Linked DNA regions of Lonchura striata. The protein of the gene in region 2 binds, or shares a complex with, the protein of the main gene of each other region. Links are inferred from orthologs where the notes say so. Each region holds a gene or a part of one and is shown on either strand. Other genes may lie near its edges. The genes, in order: ERC1, PHLDB2 and PPFIBP1.

What was found.
Region 1: PHLDB2 (region 2) and ERC1 share a complex: the UniProt entries of both Homo sapiens proteins name them as parts of the cortical microtubule stabilization complex. The link is inferred for Lonchura striata from reciprocal best matches to the Homo sapiens genes PHLDB2 and ERC1.
Region 3: PHLDB2 (region 2) and PPFIBP1 share a complex: the UniProt entries of both Homo sapiens proteins name them as parts of the cortical microtubule stabilization complex. The link is inferred for Lonchura striata from reciprocal best matches to the Homo sapiens genes PHLDB2 and PPFIBP1.

The regions. Positions count from the first base shown.
Region 1 is NC_134607.1:12,158,676-12,166,529, reverse strand, and holds the start of ERC1 (ELKS/Rab6-interacting/CAST family member 1), read right to left. Parts: upstream 3,097-7,854; 5' UTR 2,944-3,096; intron 1-2,943. UniProt on the Homo sapiens protein: Regulatory subunit of the IKK complex. Probably recruits IkappaBalpha/NFKBIA to the complex. May be involved in the organization of the cytomatrix at the nerve terminals active zone (CAZ) which regulates neurotransmitter release.
Region 2 is NC_134604.1:3,798,014-3,805,561, reverse strand, and holds the start of PHLDB2 (pleckstrin homology-like domain family B member 2), read right to left. Parts: upstream 3,041-7,548; 5' UTR 2,990-3,040; intron 2,307-2,989; exon of another isoform or gene 2,166-2,306; intron 1-2,165. UniProt on the Homo sapiens protein: Seems to be involved in the assembly of the postsynaptic apparatus. May play a role in acetyl-choline receptor (AChR) aggregation in the postsynaptic membrane.
Region 3 is NC_134607.1:1,797,301-1,804,500, reverse strand, and holds the start of PPFIBP1 (liprin-beta-1), read left to right. Parts: upstream 1-4,146; 5' UTR 4,147-4,232; intron 4,233-7,200. UniProt on the Homo sapiens protein: May regulate the disassembly of focal adhesions. Did not bind receptor-like tyrosine phosphatases type 2A.

The DNA.
Region 1 (7,854 bases), on a different chromosome or scaffold from region 2:
GAAGACCTGTGGATGTTAATTTTCTTCCACTGTATGATTAAAGAGTTTATAGGCTTATTTTAGAGTATAAAGTCAGTAAATACTATGTGTTTTTACCCATGGCTATTGTTCTCTTCCCTACAGGTAGCATGCAACCAACAACCCACTTCCTAATAGCAGAAATAAAATGTTAAAAGCACTAAAGATTTTCAGAAGCCCAGAAGTGCCTAGAAGCTCTAGTGAACCCATGCAGACAGACAGCCTAAAGTCACCATGGGCAACATCACACTGCAAGGCAAAGCATGCTCCAGCTACAGAAATTCCATCATAATCTCACCCTGACAACAATGCTGGCATATTGACATAGCCCACGTGCTACAAAACACCACTATTTCTAAATCAGCACTGGATTTTCTAGGATCTCCTGCTCTACCACTGCATGCCAGAATTAAACTCTTGGCTTAAACAGGCAGCAATGGACAGAACCCTCCTCACCTCACTGGCTGCCCTGTTGCAGCAGGGTGGCCAGCAAGGGTCAAGAACCCATACTCTGGGTTTAGTTCTAGTAAAGTTCTATTATTTAAAAAGCCACATGCATCCCTTCACACTTACATTTCTGACCAAACCATACTCAGCTAAAACAAGCCAGACCCTTCAAATACAACACAATTCTCCAGTGGTTTAGCCAGGTAAGAGCTGTAACAAAATTCTCACCCTAGAGAGGTTTTCAGGGGAACAGGCTTGAAAAGAGGGAGGGGTGAGGGGATGAGAGATAACAATGGGAGAGTATCCTGCTTCACACAGTAAGAAATAGGGGCAAGGAACTCAAGCACTGGTCACAATAGCATGGTGAACTATTTCTATTCATACAGCAGCAGGCAACTGCTACCAGGAACTGACAAAATGGTAGATTCAAAGAAAGAAAAAAAAAAAAAAAAAAAAAAAAGATAAAAAAAAGGAAAGAAAACAAGTAAGAAACCCACTAAATGCTAAAGACCCCTCAAAGAAACAGCCGGGGTTTCTCTCATCAGCAATATTTGCAATTTAGTAAAAGGGTATAGGCCACATAAATACCAAACCTGCCTTTTTTGCTAATCAGGCTATTAGCCACATATTACAGATGAAAAGTTACGTGAATGGAATCTCAAAAAAGCTCATGACAGGATCAAATAGAATGCTAAAAATTATGAACAACGTGATGCTTTAATACAGTCTAGAGAGCATGCTTTCTTTAGTTCAGGCTTCTGCTAACATCCCAGCAGTGATTTAAATACAGTTGAATTGGTTTCCCAGAAGTGACAGAAGTTCAAATTATATCAAAGATTTGATAAACTCACATTTAATTCAGCAGATCCCAACCTTTTTCTAGCTGCAGCCTGATGGATTCAGACAATTCCAAATTTCTGGATGATACAGTAGGTGTAGACTTGACTGCTCTGGGAACTGCTGTTCTGTGATAAAGTTCTGAACTGTGCTTCCAGAACTGAACTACATTCAATACAGCTGTTAACTAAATAATCACTGCTTTCATTACTGAAAAAATCCCCTATTTTACTACCAACTCTAGTCACAGCAGGACGGGCAAGGTGGTGATTTCTCTCTTCTTATTCTATTTGGAATGGCTCTAAGGGTGCTGACTCATAACTGACCCCGAATTGGGGCACACATCCGAGCTGCTGCAGTTTCCAACACAAACTCCGGTACCGTGTCAGGCTGTAGCTCAGGAGGAGATGTGTGTGCAGCCACCTACGGCTACAGACGCAATAATCTCAGGGAGCAAAGGAGGGCAGGCAGCTGGTGCAGGTTATTGCTGCAGACATCCTTGCCCAGTTGGCCATTGTTTGAGAATCACAACCCCACAAACAAACCAGACAACTTTCTGCGGTTACAACTTGTTGGATCTGAGGTAAAACGCAATCCAGCTACAACCACCCTGCATATTTGAGCATGGCCCCCAGAATGTGCTGGGACAAAATGTAAAACACTTGTTCTTCAGAACAATTCTGGTTTTATCCATTTGCTTTCCATTCTCTCTGCTTGTGTATTGCTTCTCACCACCACCAGCACCTCCATAGGTGTTTCTTTACATCTTTGCATCTCCCAGTCTCTCCCATTTCCACCGGGGCTTCCCTTTAAACCGTTTCACACTGTATCAGCACAAACCATAACATGAAACTTCCAGAGCGCACGTAACATTCCAGGTTAAATAAATTGTGTGCTTCGTAAGTAACCTCCAGAGCTCGCACTACAAACCAGACGGATGTGGAAGGGCAGCAACTCCTGACACAGGCTTCAGGATGGCAGCAGACTCCGAAACAAAGCACCGTGTCAGCTGACAGCGGCTCATAGTAGATACAATAAAATACGCGAAACTGACCAGGCAGCGCTCACAGAGAAAACATAAAAAACCCAGCACCGCCGCAAGGTCTGGGCAGGACGACAGCGCTCAGCATTACCTCGGATGAGGTGACTGAGATAACAAAAGCGTGCGCTTCCCAAGGACAGGCTGACTGAGGAGGGGCGGAAAAGCACGGCCGGGAAGGCGAATGGGCAGAGCAGGAACGACCGCCCGCGAGAAGCACGACCGAACCCCGCCCGGCAGGACGCGGGCCCGCGGGGCGATGCAGCCGGCCCGCCGCGCTCCCGGGGCCGGGCCGGGGCCACCCCGTCCCGGGCGCTGACAGCGTGCGGGGCCCGGCGGGGACAGGCCGCGACCCCCCGGCCGCCCCCTCCCTCCGCCCGGCCGCAGCCCGCGCACCCCGGGGCCGAGCCGCCCGCGGGCCCGCACCCACCTGCGCCGCAGCTCCGCGGCCACAACCCCCGCCGCCGCCGGACCCCGGCCGGCCGCAGCCCTGCCCAGCGCGGCGCTGCTCCCGCGGCTACCGGCGCCTGCAGGCCCCGCCCCGCCCCGCGCTCCCCCCAGCGGACGGCGAGGCGCGCCAACCCAACCCGACCCCCCCTCACCTGCCTGTCAGCCCGCGGCGAGGGCACGGCACGGCAGGGGCGGCGCTGGCCGCGCTCCGCTCCGCTCCGCTCGGCTTGGCTCCGCTCGGCCCGGCTCGGCTCGGCTCCGCTCCCGGCCGCTTCTCCTCCGCCGCTCCCTCCCGCGCCCCCGGCGCGAGACACGCGCAGGCCCCGCCCCCCGGCGCGCGAGCTCGCCGCGCGGGGCTTCCCTCGGCCCGCCCCGCCCCGCCCCCGCCCCCGCCCGCGCGCGTCACCGCCCGCGCGCGTCCCCGGGGAAGTTTGGCTCCTCTCCGGCGCCGTAGCGGCCGCTCCGCGCGGGAACTGCGAACAGGCCGCGGCCCGGCCCCGGCACTCGGCGGGCAAGGCCCCACAGAGCCTGGGAACCCGGCCCCACGGAGCCTGGGAACCCGGCCCCACGGAGCCTGGGAACCCGGCCCCACGGAGCCTGGGAACCCGGCCCCGAGCCGCGGTCTCCCCTGCGGGCGGCTGCTGAGTGGCCTCGGCCGGCGGGCCAGCGACCTGCGTCAGGCCGGCGTTCCTGAGGGAGCTCGGGCCGACAGGCACGGACCCCATCAAGAATCCTTCCAAGTTGGATTTGCTGCGATTTCAGGGCGTAAGGAAGGACCAACAGCAGCACGGACCCCATCAAGAATCCTTCCAAGTTGGATTTGCTGCGATTTCAGGGCGTAAGGAAGGACCAACAGCAGCACGGAATTCCTTAGCCCTTATTCCCAGGGGACGCTGAATTGAGAGATGATGTCAAGTGGGCTAGGTCTGTCAGACTGCGCAAGGAACGATCCTTATTGACGTGTTTAAATTCGTATCTCTTTGCAATGAATACAGCTTATATTGTAATTATAGTATTTCGTCATATTATATATTACATATGTTTTATATCTGATTTATTATTATATTTTGACATTGTATATATTGCATTTAATTACCGCTTATATTTTAATTCGGACCTCTGGCAGGCTGATATCCACTGAGGTCTCAATAACCTGAACTTCCCTTTCTACTGTGGAAGCAGAGAGTCTATTTTACATTAATTTCTGTAGGCTTATATTGTGCACGTAAGTGCATGCTACAGTATCTAAGGCCTTCTGTCAAGCCTAAGGTATCCCCCCGAAAAGGAAATAATTTTTACTTATCTTGCTGGCTAAGAAGGCAGAAGGATGGAAATAGATACAGGCTTGCCCACGCCTCGGGTATCCTGCCAATTTCAAGTGTAAATGAATTTCCATTTAACAATAAGCAAGTGTCAACGTGGAGCAAAACAGAGCCTGAGAGCTTTAGGTTTTTCATCCCAGTTTAATTAGTGTGTCATCTTAATACGGTCTTGCTGCCAGAAGTGTCAGCTGTGCCTGTGAGGTGTTACTGTTTCATACCTGGAAAAAAATTAGTATGACAGAGTTGTTCTCTTTTCTTTCAGTTCTACCCCTTGGTTATTGTTTATTGTTAAAAGGATTTTTTTTTAATAATATCAAAAATATTATTTGTACAGGAGTACCAGTCAATCCCTTTAATGAAATATTTTTATTAGGTTGTGAGTAAATGCAAATGAATTAAATAATGTGAGAAATTAAATAGTATTTATATTCTTGGAAAGCAAATGTATTTCAAATTTACAATTGTTTGGAATGACCTGTCTCCTAGGATGCTGTTGGTGCATTTTTAACTAAGGAAACTTTTTTGGACCTCTGTAAGGCAAAAATTGCAATGGGCAGTGAAACATCAAAGAAAATTACGTAGCGAAGGGGTAACTGCACACACACCACTGCTATTAAAGCAAATGTTTGGAGGCATAACCAGCAAAATTTGAAAAATACGCAGGCTACAACACAGCAAACACATGCTAAACAAAGCAGTTTGGGCTGGATTTGTAATTATTGGGAAAGCAGGCCCCTAAACAGCTTCCAGCAGTTACATTGATTTTCATGAGCTTGTGGCTGCCTGGCAGGAAACAGCACAATGAGTAAGGAGGTGAGTTTCTCATCCTGTGTCCCAAAAATGCAGGAATTGCCCAGGTAAGTTTTTTTTCAGATGTTAGATGTATCCAAAAATTCTTAAATAGAAACACACCCCCACAAATGCACTGTTACACTTCCAAAATTATATAAAAGTAAGGAAGAAAACTTTACCCTGTGCTCATTAAACTGTTAAAAAAGTGGAATCAGAAATAGTGTTTTCTGTTCAGTGTAGGGAGGATCATGATCCTAGACATGCCAAGAGTAAATCTAGCAGTGCCTGACAAATAAAAGAGTCGAGTTGTTCTTTTGGAGCCACACAGATTCCAGTGGAATGAGTGGGGCTGAACGGAGGTGTGCATCTGACGTGCTGTAACTGAGCAGGAATTGTCAGAGTGGTGCTTGTATGCCTTGAAAGCAAATATATTTAAACTACTGCGGGGAGCTCAAACATTCTATCTTACACCTTTTCTCTTATTACAGAATATGACCTGAATGAGTGAGGGGCATGAAAAAGGCACTGTCATCACGTGAGGCCAGCTGGAGTTGCAGCAGACACTCAGTCTCCTGAGCTGCCCCTGCATTTCCATGTTTAACCTCTCAGTGAGTATCTTTTCCTCTGGTCAAAATTAACAGAACATTACCTCGCTTTTCTCAAGTCATCAAGGTTATTTAATTAGTGATATCAGAGATGAAAACTGGGGAGTTCTATTGTGTACACCTTATCCACAAGCAACCGCATCATCTCTTTTCCACTCCTTGTAAACTGTGGAATAGTACAGGCCTGTCTTGGTTAGGAACATCTACCCCATTACACTTGAAAGAGGTACTTCAGGTTTGTGTTAAAGCAGCCTTTGCATAACAGGTAAATCGGCTTATAAAATAGTCTGGGCTTCTCAAAGGAAAGAAAACTCCACAGAAATATAAAGCTTGTAAAGTTTTTTTTGATGTTTTCTTAGAGTAATACCTTAGGTTAAGTATGTGGCATTATCTTTAGTGCTTGCTAAATCACACTTGCTGCCTGTGTAACTGTTTGCTCTTGCTGGGCTCAGTGGAATTGCATTTATTGAAAGAATGTTGAAGATCTTTACTCAGCAGACCAAAGCCTCTCAGAGAAGGAAGCTTACCAGACAGAGAGGGCAAGGATGAATGAAAAGCCCTCTGGATGTTCACAGCCTGTGCTGAAGTCCCTTCTTAGCTTGTGGGATGCTGGGATTAATTCCGTGGAACAGCCGTGTTCTAGCTGAGCATTGCCCAAGCTGCGGTGCTTGCACAATGCACAGTATGCAAGCTATTCTGAAGTGATGCAAAACTTCCTGCTTCCACCTCACAGGTGAGGAGAGCTGGGCACTGGCACTCATACCACAGGATCAGAGCACAGAGCATGGTTCAAAAACCTGATTTGTCAAGGCAGAGTGGAACTGATAGGAAAAGACATGATTTAGGAGCACAGTAAATTTGTGGGGGGTAATGGATAGTAGGATAGAAAGGTGCGTGAGGAAGTTAGAAAATTAGAAGTTATGTCCACACAATCATGGTAGGTGGTGTTGCTGCTGTAGCCCCACAGTGGTAGATATACTTGAACAGATTAGGTTTAGGATTAAGTTCAGGATTATCAGTTCTGGAAGATTGGTTTATTTCCTGCACAAGAATTTGTGTACACACACATTTTTCTCAGCAGTGCTCAGTTTCAACACCATGCAAATATACCTACTTGTACAGTGCTGTTGAAAATTAGTATTTCATATCCAATTTCCCAAACCAGAGATTGTTTTTTTGCGATTATGTACCCAATGTGTTCAAATTTTGAAAGACAAGATCAAAATAGGTAGTAGTCAAAGCTGGTAAGTTTCTTTACCTGTTCTAATGTGTCAAGGCAATGCTTTGGAGCACAGTGCAGTACCTCTAGTCTTATGTGGACTCCTTCTCAGTGACAAGAAAACTTCCTGAGAACATTACCAGCTAAACTCAGAAGAATTCCCTGTAAATAATAAACAATGTCTCCATTGCCACAGAGATAGCAAATTATAATTTGTAGGCACCTTTAAACTGATAAACTGCTTGTATCATCCTGCATATTCAAATGCATATTTGAACTTTAGTTTTTAGTCTTTCTGGTTTAAAAATAGGGCATATTTTAACACTGATTAATGAGGCAGGCAGCCTCCTGCCACAGCCCAGAGGGTGTCTGAGGCTCTTCGGCACTCCAGTGAATAGTTTATTATCTACTTCAGCATTAATGTTTCATGCAAGTTAAAATGTTCTGGGGAGAAGACAGGGTAGTGAGGAAACAATATTCCAGTGAGGAGTGGAAACATCTTGCCTTTCCTGGGTCTGGCACCAAGATAGATTTGTAGCTCCATGTGCAGAATTAACTTCTCATTGTTCCCAGCTCCTAATCTAATAATTTTTTATATTGAAGTTCTGTCACTCTGAAAGGGTCAGACAATTGCTTTGAGACACAGGGCTTGGCTATGCTGCACTTCCCCAACTGCAAAACCCCCCACATTGCTCTGATCGAGGGTATGGTTTAAATAATGCTCACAGCTGAAGCTGCTCCTGCAGGTAAAGCCTGAAACTAAGCTCACTTGTGTCTCCTTCACTCAAATTATATTCACACAACTACTACCAACCACTGACAACTAAATTTAGACTGATAATGGTGGACCGTATAAAACCATATAAAAGCTTGAAGGACTCTAACTAAAACCGGTGTTAAGCAATTTTGCATCAAAATGCCACCCACCTGCTTTGCATAAATTGGTCATAGTGTTTGTAGGCAAGTGACATTTTGGTCATTGTTTCTTCCCAAGGGCTCAGAGTGATTAAGATCTGATTGAGGCAGCTTGGGGGTGTGAGTGGAGGCAACAGTATTGTTCAAATTTCAGTTCCCTTGGCCACACACACTATTTATGTCTTCCTAATTGCCTCCCTCCCCATGCAG
Region 2 (7,548 bases):
AACTTGCCCCTAGGGCAACGCTGAGAAATCCAATGAGAACAGGTAGGTAAGGCCCAGAAAATCTAAGCAAATAGAAAAACTAATCAAAACAGCTTCATCCAGTCTTGATTTTTTTTTTTTTTTGGATGTCATTACCATTTTTCTCCCAGCTATTGCATTTTCCCACTCTTGGACAACCTTTGCCCACGATCTGCTTTCCCCTGTGCTGATTTCTTTCACTGCCACTTTGTGCCTGTCACTTCCTTCCATTAATCAGTTCTCTCCAGTGCCCACTTATTCCGACAGCTTCTGTCTCTCCCGTTCCACTCATCCATTTCTCCTCGATTTATCTCCTTCCCGGGATGCTTGCCCCATATTTCCAAACGTCCCCTCTCTTCTTCATTTCCCAGCACTCTCAGGGCAGCAAGCACGTCCCCAGACGAAATGCTTCTCATCACACGTGCTTGGCAAACCCACCACGGTGGCAGTGACAGCTCGAGTGGCACCCGCCGTGGCTGCTGTGCTGCCAAGCCATGGCTCTGCCCGTGCCAGCTTACAGCAGCAGCACCCAGGACTGAGCTCCCTTGGGTGAGGAACAGAGGTGCTACACCTGCAGGAAAGTTAAATATAGTGGTTTGCTTAAAAACTGACTCCAGCTGCATGATAAAAAACCCAAACTTGGTCATATTTACACGGTTCACTGTAGTCTCTGGAGGAACTTCTTTCTACGAGGGAAAAAAATCCCTTTGGATTTCTGTGTTATCTTGGATGTGCTCCACCAGTCTAAGACAAATCCTAAGTGAACAATGTTTGAGCACCTGCTCAAAACACCCAGAACATCATCTTGTAGCTGCTTGTTTAACTCAGTGGGAAACACTGTTTGCTTTGCTGGCAGTTGCTACACACCAGAATTAACCATTCATCTTAACAAATTAAAATGGAAATAATACACTACACATGTGCAGTGAACACAGCATTAATCTCTTAACCATCACCAGCACTTGCCCACACCTACTTTGATTATTTCAGCTTTTCTTTGGATCTTCAAGTGGAAAAGACAAAAAAGATGCTCCCATTTAAACATCTTCAGTCCTTCTCATCCAACTCCAGCCTCAAGATAGATCTGCAACCTTTAGCTCACCCAATCTCCACTTCCTATCTAAACCCAAAATACTTTAAATTTTTCATGATGGGCTTTGTTCCTTCTCAACAATAGTCAACTGATGCCTTTGACAACTTCCAAGGATATGGTTGATAATTGTATCTGATAAGTATAGACAGTAACTGATACGGGAAAAAAATGACCACTCTTCCTGCCCTGGCTGATGGCAAAGAATTCCATTTCCTCAGTAAAAAGAGACACACTAATGAGTTGATTTAGCATTTATCAAAATGGAAGCAGAATAAGTTACTGGTGTAGAAAAGGAACTGTGTAAAATGAACTATACAGAAAAGGTAGGATGTTACTACTTGGCAGCCCTAAAGGTATCTCTTTTTCTGTAATCCTCTTAGTTCAGACTACCCCTCCCCATGACAGCAAAGGCAGGCACTCTCCCATCTCCTGATCACTTTATCTCCTTTCTTTCCTACACTGCTGTGGGAAAGCAAGCCCATCCTCACCCTTTGCAATTCCATTCTATCATGCCTTACTTCCTCCCATCTCTGATCCTTTCCCATGTTAATAACTCATTTTTGAGGGCATTACCCACAAGAATATAGAGAATACAGAAACTAGAAAGTTCACTAAACATGACAATTTGCAAAAAAGGCTGCTATTGTGCCACTCTTCTTCCAAAAGAGAGTGAAGGTGTGGCACAAAAATGAAATATTCACCATGTTCTGACTGGCAACATGTTCACCCAGATGCCCTGAAGATGCAGACACAGAGGATTCGGGCACGTGCAGAGTCAAGGCACAGAGACAAGATGACAGGTTGACAAGATGAGCATTTGGAAGAAAAAGGGACTGGTGACAAAAGCCATGTGTGTGAGATCAAGCAAGCACTCAGTGGCAGGAGCAGAAAGCCCATCTCCAGTCTATTTACACTTCTGCACATGGGGAAATTCCTCAGGCAGCTTTGGGGCAGGAGAAGGAGAGGGGGCCGTAGTTTCCAGCCCGTTGCTCGCTTTGCTCGTGGGCAGCACATCTCTTCCCTAGAAAAGCTCTGATCTCCGGGCTGAACTCACCACCGAGCGCGGCGCTCCGGGCGCCGCCGAATCCCACCCGGCTGCTGACAGGGCTACACCAGGGGGGACTCAGGAGCTCTGAATCTGTCAGGGGACACGGAGCCCAAAGCCCCGATCTCCGTCCGCAAGCCGATCCGCCGTGCTCCTGCTGCTAAACTCCGGCGATGCCGAGCCGGCATCCATCGCCGGCTCCGCGCCGGGAACGCATCCCCGCCGGGCACCGCAGCCCTCGCACAGCCGCAGGAGCCTTTACAAGCCACCAGCCGAACAAAGGACCGCGGACAAAGAGCCTTGTCCCACGTCTTTCCCCTCCACCAGGTAGATTATTTACGATGGGAAACCAAAGCAAGCAAAGCCAAGCCCCGCCGTTCTTCCCTCGCTTCCTCAGACCTCGGACGGATATCCCCGGCGCCCCCGGGGCAGAGGCTTTGTTCGCCAGCGGGGACGCGGCAGAACCGGGGGGAACCACCCGGACAAAGAGGGAGAGAAGCGTCTGGCGATGAAAGAGATGGAGCCCCGTCTCTATCAGCTGCGGGGTCCCTGCCGAGCCGGGCAGCAAGGGGGGACCCCACCGCCCCCACCCGTCAGACGTGCGGAGGGACCGGAGGCGGGGGAGTGGGTGGGGGTGGTGGCGGCACAAACTCCCTTAAAAGTAGCCCAAAACACGGGGCCGGTCGCAAGCAGCTGAGCCGGCGTCAGCCCAGGCTCTGCGTGCCCGAGAGCGACCCTCTTCCCATCCCCGCGGGGCCCCGCCGCCTCTTTCCATCCGAGCGGCCCGGGAGGGCTTCGCCCACCCCGCGGGACGGCGCTTTCCCCGCACTCACCGCCGCCGCTCCCCGCGCATCCCGGTCCCGGTCCCGGTCCCGGTCCCCGCCCGGCTGCGGGAGCGCCGCCGCCCCCGGGAGCCGCCCCCCGCCGCAGCGCCCGCCCCCCGGCGGGGCCGGGGCGCCCCCGCGGGCGGAATGGTTCGCTCCCCTCAGGCCGGGGTCGCGGGAGCGGGCCGGGCAAAGGGCAGCCGGGATGGGGGGGAACGGACGGAGCCGGGGGCGGACGGGCGAGAACGGGGAAGGGGCACGGGGATGTCCCCGGAGGGGCCGCCCTGGAGCTGTTCGCGATCCACGAATATGAGTCGCCAGGCAATTTCCTGCCCGCGAGATTAGCTGAGCAAACAGGGCGGCGCTGGCAGGGCGCGGGCCCCGCTTTCCGTGCCTGGGGCGCGCTTTGCCTGCGCCCTCATCTTCCTCCTCCTCATCCCCGGGGAAAGCGGGGGCTGAGGGGGCTGCTCTCCGCCCTCCCGATGCCGGAGCGGAGCCGCTCGCCTCCGTTCCCCTGCCGCTCACCCAGCCCGGGGTCACACCCTGCTGTTGCCTCTGCCTGAGGTGTCCTGAAATTCAAGATTTCCTCTTACCTGAGAAAAACACACCCATGAAAGCATATGTGTAATACACAGGCACCCTCGTGTGTACACACACGGGGCTCCCAAAACACCCCCGCCCAGTCCCCGTGCATCGCCGAAGGATGGAGCTGCCACCACCGGCTCTTTGCTGTTCCCAAAGCAGGGAACGGGCTGGTGGGACCGGCCGGCTCTTGCTGGAGGGGTTTCACACCAGAGCAAGCCTACAAAGCAGCATCAGCCGGGCAAAGCGTGTGCGCCGGGGCAGCGCGTCCCGCCCGTCCCGCGTTTGGCCAGCCCGGACCTGCGGGGCTCCAGGCTCAGGAGGCTCCGCAGGGACAACGGGGGAAGAAAAGGCGACAAAGCCTCCGGGGAGGGGTCGTCCCACGCCCGAGAACACTGGGTGCTGGCAGCCCAGGGCATATAAGCATAAAGCTTCTCTTTCCGAGCGCCTGTGCGGTGCCGGGCTCGGTAAGGAAACGCCGGCGCTGAGAGATGCGAGGCAGCCTGGAGGAGTCGGGGCAGTGAGCCAGAGTATCCTGCACAGCGATCTCGTTTCGTGCTGTGTGGCCTCGTCACTCTGCCTTCCCCCGTTTGTTTCCCAAAGAAGGAATCGGGGAACAGCAGCGCTTACCTGCCGTGCGGGGCTCCTGCGGGATGGGTGAGAGCTCAGCCAGCACTCGGCCAGGTAAGGCACTGCCAGGCTGCCGCTGTGCCACGAGCGAAGGGAGCTTGCTGTGATACACTTCCTGCCTTACGTATTCCAGGGGATGTTTCACTCGGCTAGAACCGTGACTTTACTACAATATAAACTCCTTAGTACCTGAAAATCTGTATGGTGAAACCCACAATACTAGAGGATATTTTAAAAAAGGTGCCCTTGACTGTCCTACTGTCTACTCTGGTTTACTATAAAAAGACAAGCATTGAGACTAATAACTCCAAAAGGCCAGAACCTAGATGGTCTCTTCTCACAAACATCCCAGTGTTTCATTTTCCGCTAGCATTGAACCTGCTCTTCTGTTTTGTTCACCGAGCAAGCAAGGCACTTAAAAAATAAAGGCATATGTGTGTAATAAATGCAGAGTTAAGGGCATGCTCACAGTTAGTAGAACTGAAAATTACTTTTAGCCTTGCCACAGCCAGAACCAAAAGCAGCCAGCCTTCCCTTCATCTCACATGATCTTCCTTTTCCTTTTAAGTGGGAAAAATTGTAAGTAATAGTCTGCAAAAATCTCCCTAGGGAATGTGAAGCCTAGGAGTATGGAAAGCTGCAACTTTGCTCTTGCAGTCAAACAGTTGCTCTGAAGAACTTGTGATATGTTGGCTGAAATTTGCCTTCACTTATTTCCTACCTAGTAGGTGAAGAGGCAGCAAAGCTGGGTAAGGCAGATCATATGTTTTCCCTGCTACCTGTATGCTGTGAACACTTTGTCTTAATCAGTATCATCTGTTTCTTTTCAGCAAACTAAATAAGAATACAGAATATGACTTATTTCTAAAATTGTAATAAGTACTCAAAATAATAATAAGTACTCAGCCATAGCTGAGGTTCTAAAATAACTTGGTAAATTGTAATGTTTAACAGGTGAGAGTCTGGCAATATAAAAAAACAAAAACCTTGTCTTACATTTTATGAGCAGGAAATACTTAAAAATTAGGAAACAAGAGAACCTCCATAAACTAAAGACCTGAAAACTCTTGTTGGAGCAAAAGAAGCTCCAACAAGAATGCTACTATTAAAAGAAAAGCCAGTAAAAAGTATATGGAAACTTGCACGAGAGCTACAAGTCATAAATGGGTTCAACAGTCCATCTAGCTAGCATTAACAGTTTTCATGGCAATTGTACTTCAACATCAACATATCACAGAGGCTTTCAAAATTCTCCACCCTTCAGAATGCAAGCATGCCCGATAAAAATTTGGTTTCCATGGCAATTCATATAAGTAGAAATCAAATGTTGGAATGTTTACAAAAAGCATGCTTTAATCAGGAGCATTGCAAATGGTAATAAAATGCCATTTTGTTACCATGCTTCTGTAAGATAGGTGAGATCACTTCAGCTGCTTCAGAACTGAAGTAATCTCTGAGCAGGCACCCACAGTCACAACCTCTGCATTACCTGGTCCCTTACCTTCACAGATTTTATCCACATCAGCTGTGGACAAGGCTGCATTTCTGTCAAATGAGCCAGAGCCCACAGCTGGGAGTTGGTTCAGCCTTTTGTTACCTGCAGGAGGAGAGGGATTCCCAGACTGACAAAGTCAGTTGAGATAAAGCTTCCCATTGATGACTGGGTGCTGTTACACCCAGACTTTGCTTTGGTGGCAAAACTGGTCCGGTGTCTTCAGTTTTGTGCCTTAACTATTCATTTGGATTCATAGTCTATGATTTGTTACATTCTTTGGTGGGGTGATGCAATTATTTATTAAAAACAGATCAAGAAAATGATCCAGGTGAAGCCTCTTCCTTCCCAAACACCTCTACATCCTCTGAAAAACGTCCAAAAAGTACTTGCTTTAGAGTGATGGATGAGAATAGAAACAGATCTGAGCAGTTGTGCTTGAGACTGAGCCTCTGTTTCTTGGAGCAGCATCAGCAACATGCCAATGGATTATTAAATTGCACCTTTTTTGAACAAACCTGTCACAACAACTGAAGTCATAATGATTCAGTGCTTTCCAGGATGTAGCCAGAGCATTTTGAACCACTTGTTTATAGCTTAAAAACCAGAACTTTGGGTGAAACTTCAAAGTAAGCAGCGATTCCTCTGCTGTAACTTCCTCAAAGACACTTTGAGGCAGTTTAGAAGGCTGGATTCTAGGTCATGAAAGAATCTTGGTTTTTAAGGCTCATTGGGAATCTGCAAAATTGAAAGGCAACGTGGAGGATGACTGCATTCATCAGTACCATTCTGGTGAAAAAAAATCACACCCTGTAGTTTCACTGGTCATCCTAGTTAAAAATCTAAAAATCTCTTAATGCGGCACTCAATAGAAATGTATATCAGTAATAAAAGAAGTTGGGGTTCAACCAGTGGAGTGTTCTTGTGACTCATCCTGAAACTTTCTTGAACTGTCACACAAGAGCTATCAAGAAGAAAGTGCCTGGGGAAAATAAGTTACATGAGTAATCAAATCTCATGCTTCAGGGCACAAATCAATTGCTGGAAGGGTCAAGAAAGGAATTTCCTTACTCTCTTCCTTTGCACAGTTGTACACAATTAACTGGGTTGTAATTGCAAGGCAAAAAAGGCCATTATTATTTTGCTTGTTCTCAGAACCATCAGGCACTAGCTGCTTTTGCAGCTGAATTCAGAGCTTAAGGGACAGGTCTGGTAGGTGAGTTTTGTTCCACTTCTGTGAGGTTTTGCCTGGATTTACAGGACATTTGGGAGGTTTGCTCTTCCTTTATGCTGACTGCCCAGCCCACAATATAACTCTGTTGCAGAACTACCATTAAAGGAAGACTAATTTAGGCAGTTAATTTTCTGTTAATAATCAGTAGTTACCTTAAAAAAAAAAATCCCTCTGTCTATAATTGCACAACTCATAATGACTCATTTAAGTAGCAGCAGTGTTGTCTCCATAATGGCCTAAAGATACAAACATGACAAGATTTGTCAGAGGTAACCATTTTTATTGAGCAACTGGACCATTTAATGCAATAGAAGAGCACTCTCTTCATTAAATAGGGTATTTTAGTAATCAAAAGAATTTTTGCTACCACAGAAATTGCTTCAAATCACAAGAGCACTCCTCTATGAGCTTGTGTATGGTTCTCTGTCTTCACAGCTGATTAATTGCTTCCCTTTCCTAGAATCAGCTGTGCACTGGTCAGTGGGGGTGGCTTAGGGCTCCATCAGCCAGCTCTGCTACTGCTGCTAAGCTCTCTGCAGTGCTAGTAAAGTGTTTTTTTCCTGTACACAAGTGCATTTTTGATATATGGTCTGTGAGAAAACACATTGAAAACTACAGGCACTAGCAAAA
Region 3 (7,200 bases), on a different chromosome or scaffold from region 2:
CAGTGTGGGGGCTACTAGGAAAAGTTATTGCTGGCACCTCTATGCCAGTTCCTGACTCCTCTGCTGAACATTTTTTCCTGTGTTTGAAGTTAAATACTTTGAGTACTCAAAGGGCTTCTCTTCAGCTCCATCAAGTACTGAGTATACCAGAAATCCTCTCCTGAGTGTAAGCAACGATTATCTGCTGATACTGAAATTGAGAGAATGCTGTAACAAGTACATGTGAACCTCATGAGGATTTCAGCCCAGTTAAGGTGCACTTATACCTAAATTAGTGAGATTTCCAGGGAGAAGAAAAAAAATGTTTGGTAGGCCTGCAGAAATTTAAGAATGTAGAACTTTCTTGAAGTGTAACCTTTCCTGTCCTGCTTTTGATGACAGCAATGATTCACAGTAATGGGAGGACAATGGTCTGGAACACCCAATCTTTTCAAGCAGTTATGCTATTGCCATGGTATGCATTCCTCCAGCTGAGCCTGATGTGATTCGTGCTCATGTCAGGAGGTTTTCTCTTGCTTGCATTTTACATAACATATGCAGCATCTTCTGATTTGTAACACTGCTCTTTGTGATTTCCAGATCCACACTGACACATCTCTGAGGTTCATGCTGGAAAGGTTTCTGCAGCTAAATACAATCCTCACAGGTATGTGAAATTTTATGGAAAGCTTCCTTGTCCACTGGAAATGGAACTGGGTTTGCTTTTTCTTGATTTTCAGGGGATAATTAGGGATAATTACACAACATTCCAGATCAATACACAAGACTGATCACCTGAAACTGGGCACCTGAAATGCTCCCAAGCACTGGGGCGGGTTGGTCACTTCTTAACCGACCTTCTGCTTTTTGGGGGGTTGAAACCAGAAACTTCAGGACACAGAAACTTTAGACCAGAAACTTTGCAGCAGAGCCAAGACAGGGCAGGATCTCTTCCATCAGTTCAGCAGCAGGTTCAGTGTGCAGGGCTTTTCCTTGTGTTTTCAAACACTGTGGGAAGAGCCAGTAATGGGACAGCTGAGGTCAGAAGTTTGACTGTTTAGGGGGTACAGTTTGGGAGCATTTTGTACTTCAGGTGCCCTGGATTAGGAATCCTTTGGGCACTGAATCTCTCCTGTCCTTTTTAGGAAGGGATTGGAGGGGAATTGAAACATGAGGATTTGACAGCTAGAAGGTATGGATTTGACAGCTAGAAATTGTTTGTGCAGCGCTTTGTCCCAGGACTGAACATGGTGTCACACTAAAGTTCATGGCCAAAACAGTTTTGCTCTGTTGAGTATTTAACAATCAGGATACTTCAGGTGGCTGTCAAAGCTGTCTTGGCTTTCAGCTCAGCTACAATAGTTGGTCAGAAGAGCAAACATTTCCAAGGTAATGGCTTCTAACATTAAAACTCTGCTGCTGCTGCTGAGAGAGTGAATTTCAGCTTCCTCCTGTGAAAGAAGCTGCCAGGACAAAAGCACCATTTTCTCTGCTTATACCTCTATCTGCACAAGGTGCTTTTGCTGGCACAGTTCTGCCTTCAGAGGATCTTATCACAGCCCTGACTGACACAACTGTGCCAGGAGAGTCAGTGATGGAGCCCTGACCTAAAAACACCCTGGCTCAGCTGCAGGGTTAACACCCAGCTGGGAATAAAAAGAGTGACTCGCTGAGTCCACTTTCTCAGCTGTCCTGAAAGCCATGCACAGCCTGGGTGGGAAACCATTGTTCTTTGGGAAGGAGATCCCTCAGCTCTTTCAGCTGTTGTATTCTGGGGAATGAGTTTGGTCTAAAGGAAAACCTTTGGGGCCCAATGAAGTGCTGCATTTATTTACAAAAAAAAATTTGTTAAAAATTGGCTGTGATGGACATGGCTTGTTATTGTGCTTCAGTACCTTCCTCGTGAGCTAGCACTGATAGAATTATAGAATTATAGCATGAGTTAGGTTGGAAGGGACCTCAAGGATTATCCAGTTCCCAAACCCTGCCATGGGCAGGGACACCTTCCACTATCCCAGGTTGTTCCAAGCCCCATCCAGCCTGGTCTTGGATGCTTTCAGGGATGGGGCAGCCACAGCTGCTATGAGAAACCTGTGCCAGGGCCTCAGCACCCTGAATAGGGAAGATTTTTTTCTTAAAATCACCTGCTTTGTGACAGGGATCTTGGAGCTTGTGTGCTCACCCCAGTGACCCAGCTGAAAATTAACTACACTAGGACACTACTCCTGGCTGTACCATGCCGTGTGTGTGGGAGATGGGATGTACTGCCCAAAGAAAATCCTGTTAGAAAGTGCACACTGCTCCTTCAAAATGCCTCTGACAGCTCTTGAAATACTGGGCTTAATGCCATTTATTGATTTGTAACCACGGAGACGGTGATTGTTCTCAGTGCAAAGTGAGGGAAAAGCTCTTTTCCTTCACCTCCTCATGGAGTGAACAATGCTGGAAAATGCTCTTACTCCTTGTAACTTCCCTGAGCCTTCACAGGAGGGACCAACAACTTGTTCGCCTTCTTAGAGGCTCCTGCATTTCCACAAAGGTGAAGAAAAGCAACCAACCATTCCTTGCAAACCAGCCTGGAGCAAAAAGGGCTAAGTTACTTGGGGAGATGAGAGATCAGCACACCAGAAAGCCTTATCAGAGATTTGTCTTAACTTGCAAAGGTATTTTCTTGGACGAAAGAATCCAAACAGTTGTTCGAAATGTTCTGTCTGCTAAGATTTGTTTTCAGAGATCTCCCTCGTGCCATCCTGACAAATGAAGGTTTGCATTAGGTTTTTTAAAAGATCTTTACTTTCTTAATTGAAAATTCAAAAAACACAATCAACAGAATATTCAATTAAAAAAAAAAAAAACAAAAAACAAAGGCTGAAGAACAGTAGATCCATATTTGTTCTGAGTGCTTGTTATTGGGCAAGTCCAAGCCCAGCCATTTCAGGAAGGATGGAGTGCTGGAGTGGGATCCCTGTGATTCAGCCTGGTGTGACCTGGAGTGTGATCAGCACTCACCCATCAGCTGCCAGCAAACTGGTAACATTTGCTGGAGAACTGATAAAAATTTGAGGAAAATGAGCAAAAAGACCAACTGCAGAGCATCAGAACCATAGGTAGGCACCAAAGTTTTGAAACAGAGGTACTAGAAATAGAAGACACTAAAAAAACAGGTATTTTTAAATTGCCTTTCTTTTCTCATAGTCTAAAATTCAGTCCTGCTGTTTAACCTGAGACACACTGGAGCTTGTGTGGCCAAAAAAAAAGTGGTTTGGATTGACTTGTCCTTTGCAAACTGTGCTTAAAAAGCAAATTATACCTTCCCACTTTTGCTGGGAATTCAAAACGTTTGCTTTCAACACATCACCAAAACTTTTCCATTTTGACTGGAAACTTCCACATTTTTGCATGTTATGGTCAGGAACAGAACACAAGCAAATTGTCTTTTCCACGAACAAAACATGACAAGTTTTCTCTCACCCAGCGCTTAGAGAAGGGGTGGGAGGAAGAGCTTTGAGGCAACTCCAAACAAAACTGAGAGTTGGTTGGCTGAACCCCTGGGTCTGTTCTTTGTGTGGCTCCACTCCTGAGAGAGCAGCATCTCAGGCCTTTCTGCCATGGAGCCGGTAAAGCCAAGGCTGGTTTTCGGTGTGGCTGCGAGGCTGTTGATGCAGTGCACGGAGTCACTTGCACTGTATAAATGAGAGCAACGCTCCTGCGGAAGTAGCACGGATGGCTGCACTAAAACCCGCACCATGTTTATCCCCAGCCCTGCGGCCAAGCGCTGGCATGGCACTGCAGATTTGCCCGGGGTGTCACTCGGTGCCGCCTCCTTCCCCCGCCGAGGAGCGGCTCGGGGGAACTCGGGCAGCAGACCGCGGACATCGGTCGGGGTCCCGGGCAGAGCACCCGGAGGTGGCGGAGTCACAGGGGCGTTGTAAGCTTGGACGTGTCGCTCGGAACCGGGTGAGGTTCGCGCTGTGCTGCGCAGTCCCGGGCTGCGCTCGCTGCTCTCTGACGGCCCGTGAGGGGCACGGGGAGCGCGGCCGCTCGCACCGCCCCACGCCGGCTCCCTCATGGCCGGCCCGGGAGCGGCGGCGGGCGGCGCCTCGGCCGGGCGGGGCAGAGCGGCGGCTCGGGGCCGTCCCGGGGCGGAGCGGGGCGGGCACCGAGCGGAGCGGCGCGGGCGGGACGGCGGCGGGGGCTGCCCGGAGCCGGCGGAGGCGCGGCCGCCCCGGAGGCTCCGCGCGGTTCGGCCGCAGGTAAGGGAAGTTCGCGGGAGCCGCTCCGAGACCGCTCGGAGCCGGCTGCGGCACCTCGGTGTCCCGGCGGGATGAGCCCCGCCGTGCCCTGCCCCGGCGGCTCCTCCTCTGCCGCCGCCATGGCCCGGGGCCCCGGCAGCGGGGCCGGAGCCGGCCCGGGGACGGGAGCGCCGCGTGTGCCCGGAGCGGGGCAGCGGGGAGGCTGCGCCGCCACATCCCCCAGCCTCTGTCCCCTGCCTGTCCCTGTGCCCGCCACATCCCCCAGCCTCTGTCCCCTGCCTGTCCCTGTGCCCGTGCCCGCCACATCCCCCAGCCTCTGTCCCCTGCATGTCCCTGTGCCCGCCACATCCCCCAGCCTCTGTCCCCTGCATGTCCCTGTCCCTGTGCCCGCCACATCCCCCAGCCTCTGTCCCCTGCCTGTCCCTGTGCCCGTGCCACCTCCCGGCGCTTCCAGCACTCCCGACCTTCTGTGCCTTGTTTCTGTGCTGGACCTGATGTAACTTTTCGCGAAGTTTTGGGGAGAGGTTGACGTTCTCCTGTTTAATCTTTTCGGGCTCTGGTAGGAAGCTTCAGGCACTGGTGCTGTGAAACTGCAGTTATGAGTTTTATCTAGAGCTAACAAATGTGGTTTGATTTAAGGCCTGGGGTTCTTACATCCTGTCATTATTTTCCCGAGGTCTGTTTCTGTTGGAGCCGTGACTCCCAACAGCTGCAGTCGCTGTTCTTGCTCAGGCCGGGGCTGGGTGCAGCTGGAGCTGTGAAAAGGCGCTTTGCACCTCCGAGCTGTTTCTGGGGGAAGGGGCGCTTTGGTGTGCGAGGCTGGGCTGGGCTGTAACACGTGTGTGCTCCCTCGTGTGAGTGAGGAGCACCAGGAAGAGTTTCAGGCCGGGCTCGGCTGTGCCTGAGCCTTCAGAGGCTCTGCAGCTCTCCGCCTTCTGGCCCGGGCACAGCCGCTGCCCGCAGCCCGTGTGTAGCTCTGTGCGACTGCACTGGCAGCACATTGAGCAATGCAAGTGCCGCTGCATTCCAAAAGTAAACAGCAGAAACGGGGCACGGAGTGGGAATATTCTCCATGCTTACACCGTGGAGCTTTGGGGAGGAAGATGTCCCAGTGTCAGCTTGGGATTTATTGCCTCTATTAAAGGGAGCAGCTGTGTCTTGAGGATTTACTTTTGTGAAGGATGTAAGTAGAGGTTTCAGTAAAACTGGTGTCTCAGTGAGGCAGCATGGCAGGTTGGTTTGAGAAGCATTCTGGAAAGCAGAAATCTGCTTGAACTCTCAGTTCCAAGTGCAGCAAAGATTTTGGCCTCTTAATTTCTTCACATCACTAAGAAATGAGGAGCCAGAACACTCCCTTGAGCTTAGTACCCATCCCAGTGGAGTTTAGGATTTAGCACAGCTTCTTGAGAAGCTGTATCAGAGGTCAGCTGCTGGCAGTGACAATGACTGTCAGTGGAGTGCTGTGGTGCTCACACATGAGGATTGATGTTCCCATGCCAGGAGGGTGAAGTTGTTGGTGTTTCTCTCCTCCCTGAAGGGAGCTCCACCTGTTCACCTGGCTGTGAGGGGGGCTCTGAGGAGCAGGTTCCCTCTTTGGCAGCCCATCTCCTGCCTTGAGCCCTGGTGCATCTGGTGCAAGAGTTGTGCTGAGGTGCTGCATCTGGTGCAAGAGTTGTGCTGAGGAATGCTGAAGTTGGTTTGTCCTGTGCACTTTGCAGCAGGTCCAGGCTCTGCTTGCCCCTGACACACGGGGTGGAGCACCTTGAAACCAGGGCTGTCCCATGGGGCAGGGATCCGTGGTGAAAATCATCTTTTTCCTCTTAGCTGCGAGTCGCGTTTCCTTTCTGGGTTGTGCTGCCAGGGCAGTGTGACACACGCTGCAGGAAGGAGAGGGTGCCGCTGGAAATGGCAGTGGAGGTGCTTGGGGAGGCTTTGCCTGTGACCCCTGGCTGCAGGAGGTAATTGTTGGCATTCCTGGCATGACGGCCATTCCCTGGGCTGAGGCTCCCAGGTGGTGCTGCCGGCCTGGCTGGTCCCGTTGGTCCCTGGAGATGAGCAGGACAAAGTCTGGTCACTGCTCAGTGCCCAGCTCAGGGTGGCCTGAGGACAGGCAGAGCTGTGTGTGATGAGCTGCTCGGTGCAGAGTCCTTTAGGAGGTTTAGTCTCTTTAATCCACCCAGGTGGGGCTCCTGCGATGTTTCTTTCCCCACCTGGAGGAACACTTTCAGTTGAAGTAGAAATCCTTCCCCTGCAGAGCTTTGAAACCAGCGAAGGTTTAGTCACTTTCTTGTGCTGCGATTGCATCAAACCAGGCCTTTGGCTTGCTGAGCACAGGGGAGCTGTGTGAACTCCTTTGAGGAACTGACTGATTTTCTTTGTTGTGCATTGTGTGTGTTTTTCTGGGAAGGTGGAGGCAGCACAGAGAGGAGACCAGATCCCCAATCTGGGACAGATGTTCCAAAAACATATCCCTGACTCCCTAGGTGGTTCAAAAGGAGTGCAAAAACCCCAGAATGCCTCCTCTGACTGGGGAGTCTGCTGTTTTGCAGTAAAAAGGAGGAGCCAAATATTAGGCAGGATTTAGGTGGGTGATAAAGCATCCTGTGGTGTGAGGGGTGGTCAGTAAAGCTCCTGTCCCACTGCTGAATTTGCATGCCCTTCCTCAAGGAGGTGCTGGTAACTTTTGCCTCAGCTGGTAAATGGTGATGTGCAAGTGAGGTTGGTGTATCTGAGACAGCTTCTTCTCGTACTTACCCGGGTGACTGTCAGGGCTTCAAAGCAGAACTGAGGTTATGTGGCTGCTTTAAAGTGTGCAATTATGATCTGGCCCATTTCTGCCTGGCCAAACCACATCTCTAAATTTACAGAAGTAAGGAACAGGTTTATTGGAAGGCTCAGGCAAGTTTTGTTTTGTTTACTCCTCTTGAGTGGAATGTGTACATGCAGCTGTCCATTAAGGATACATAAA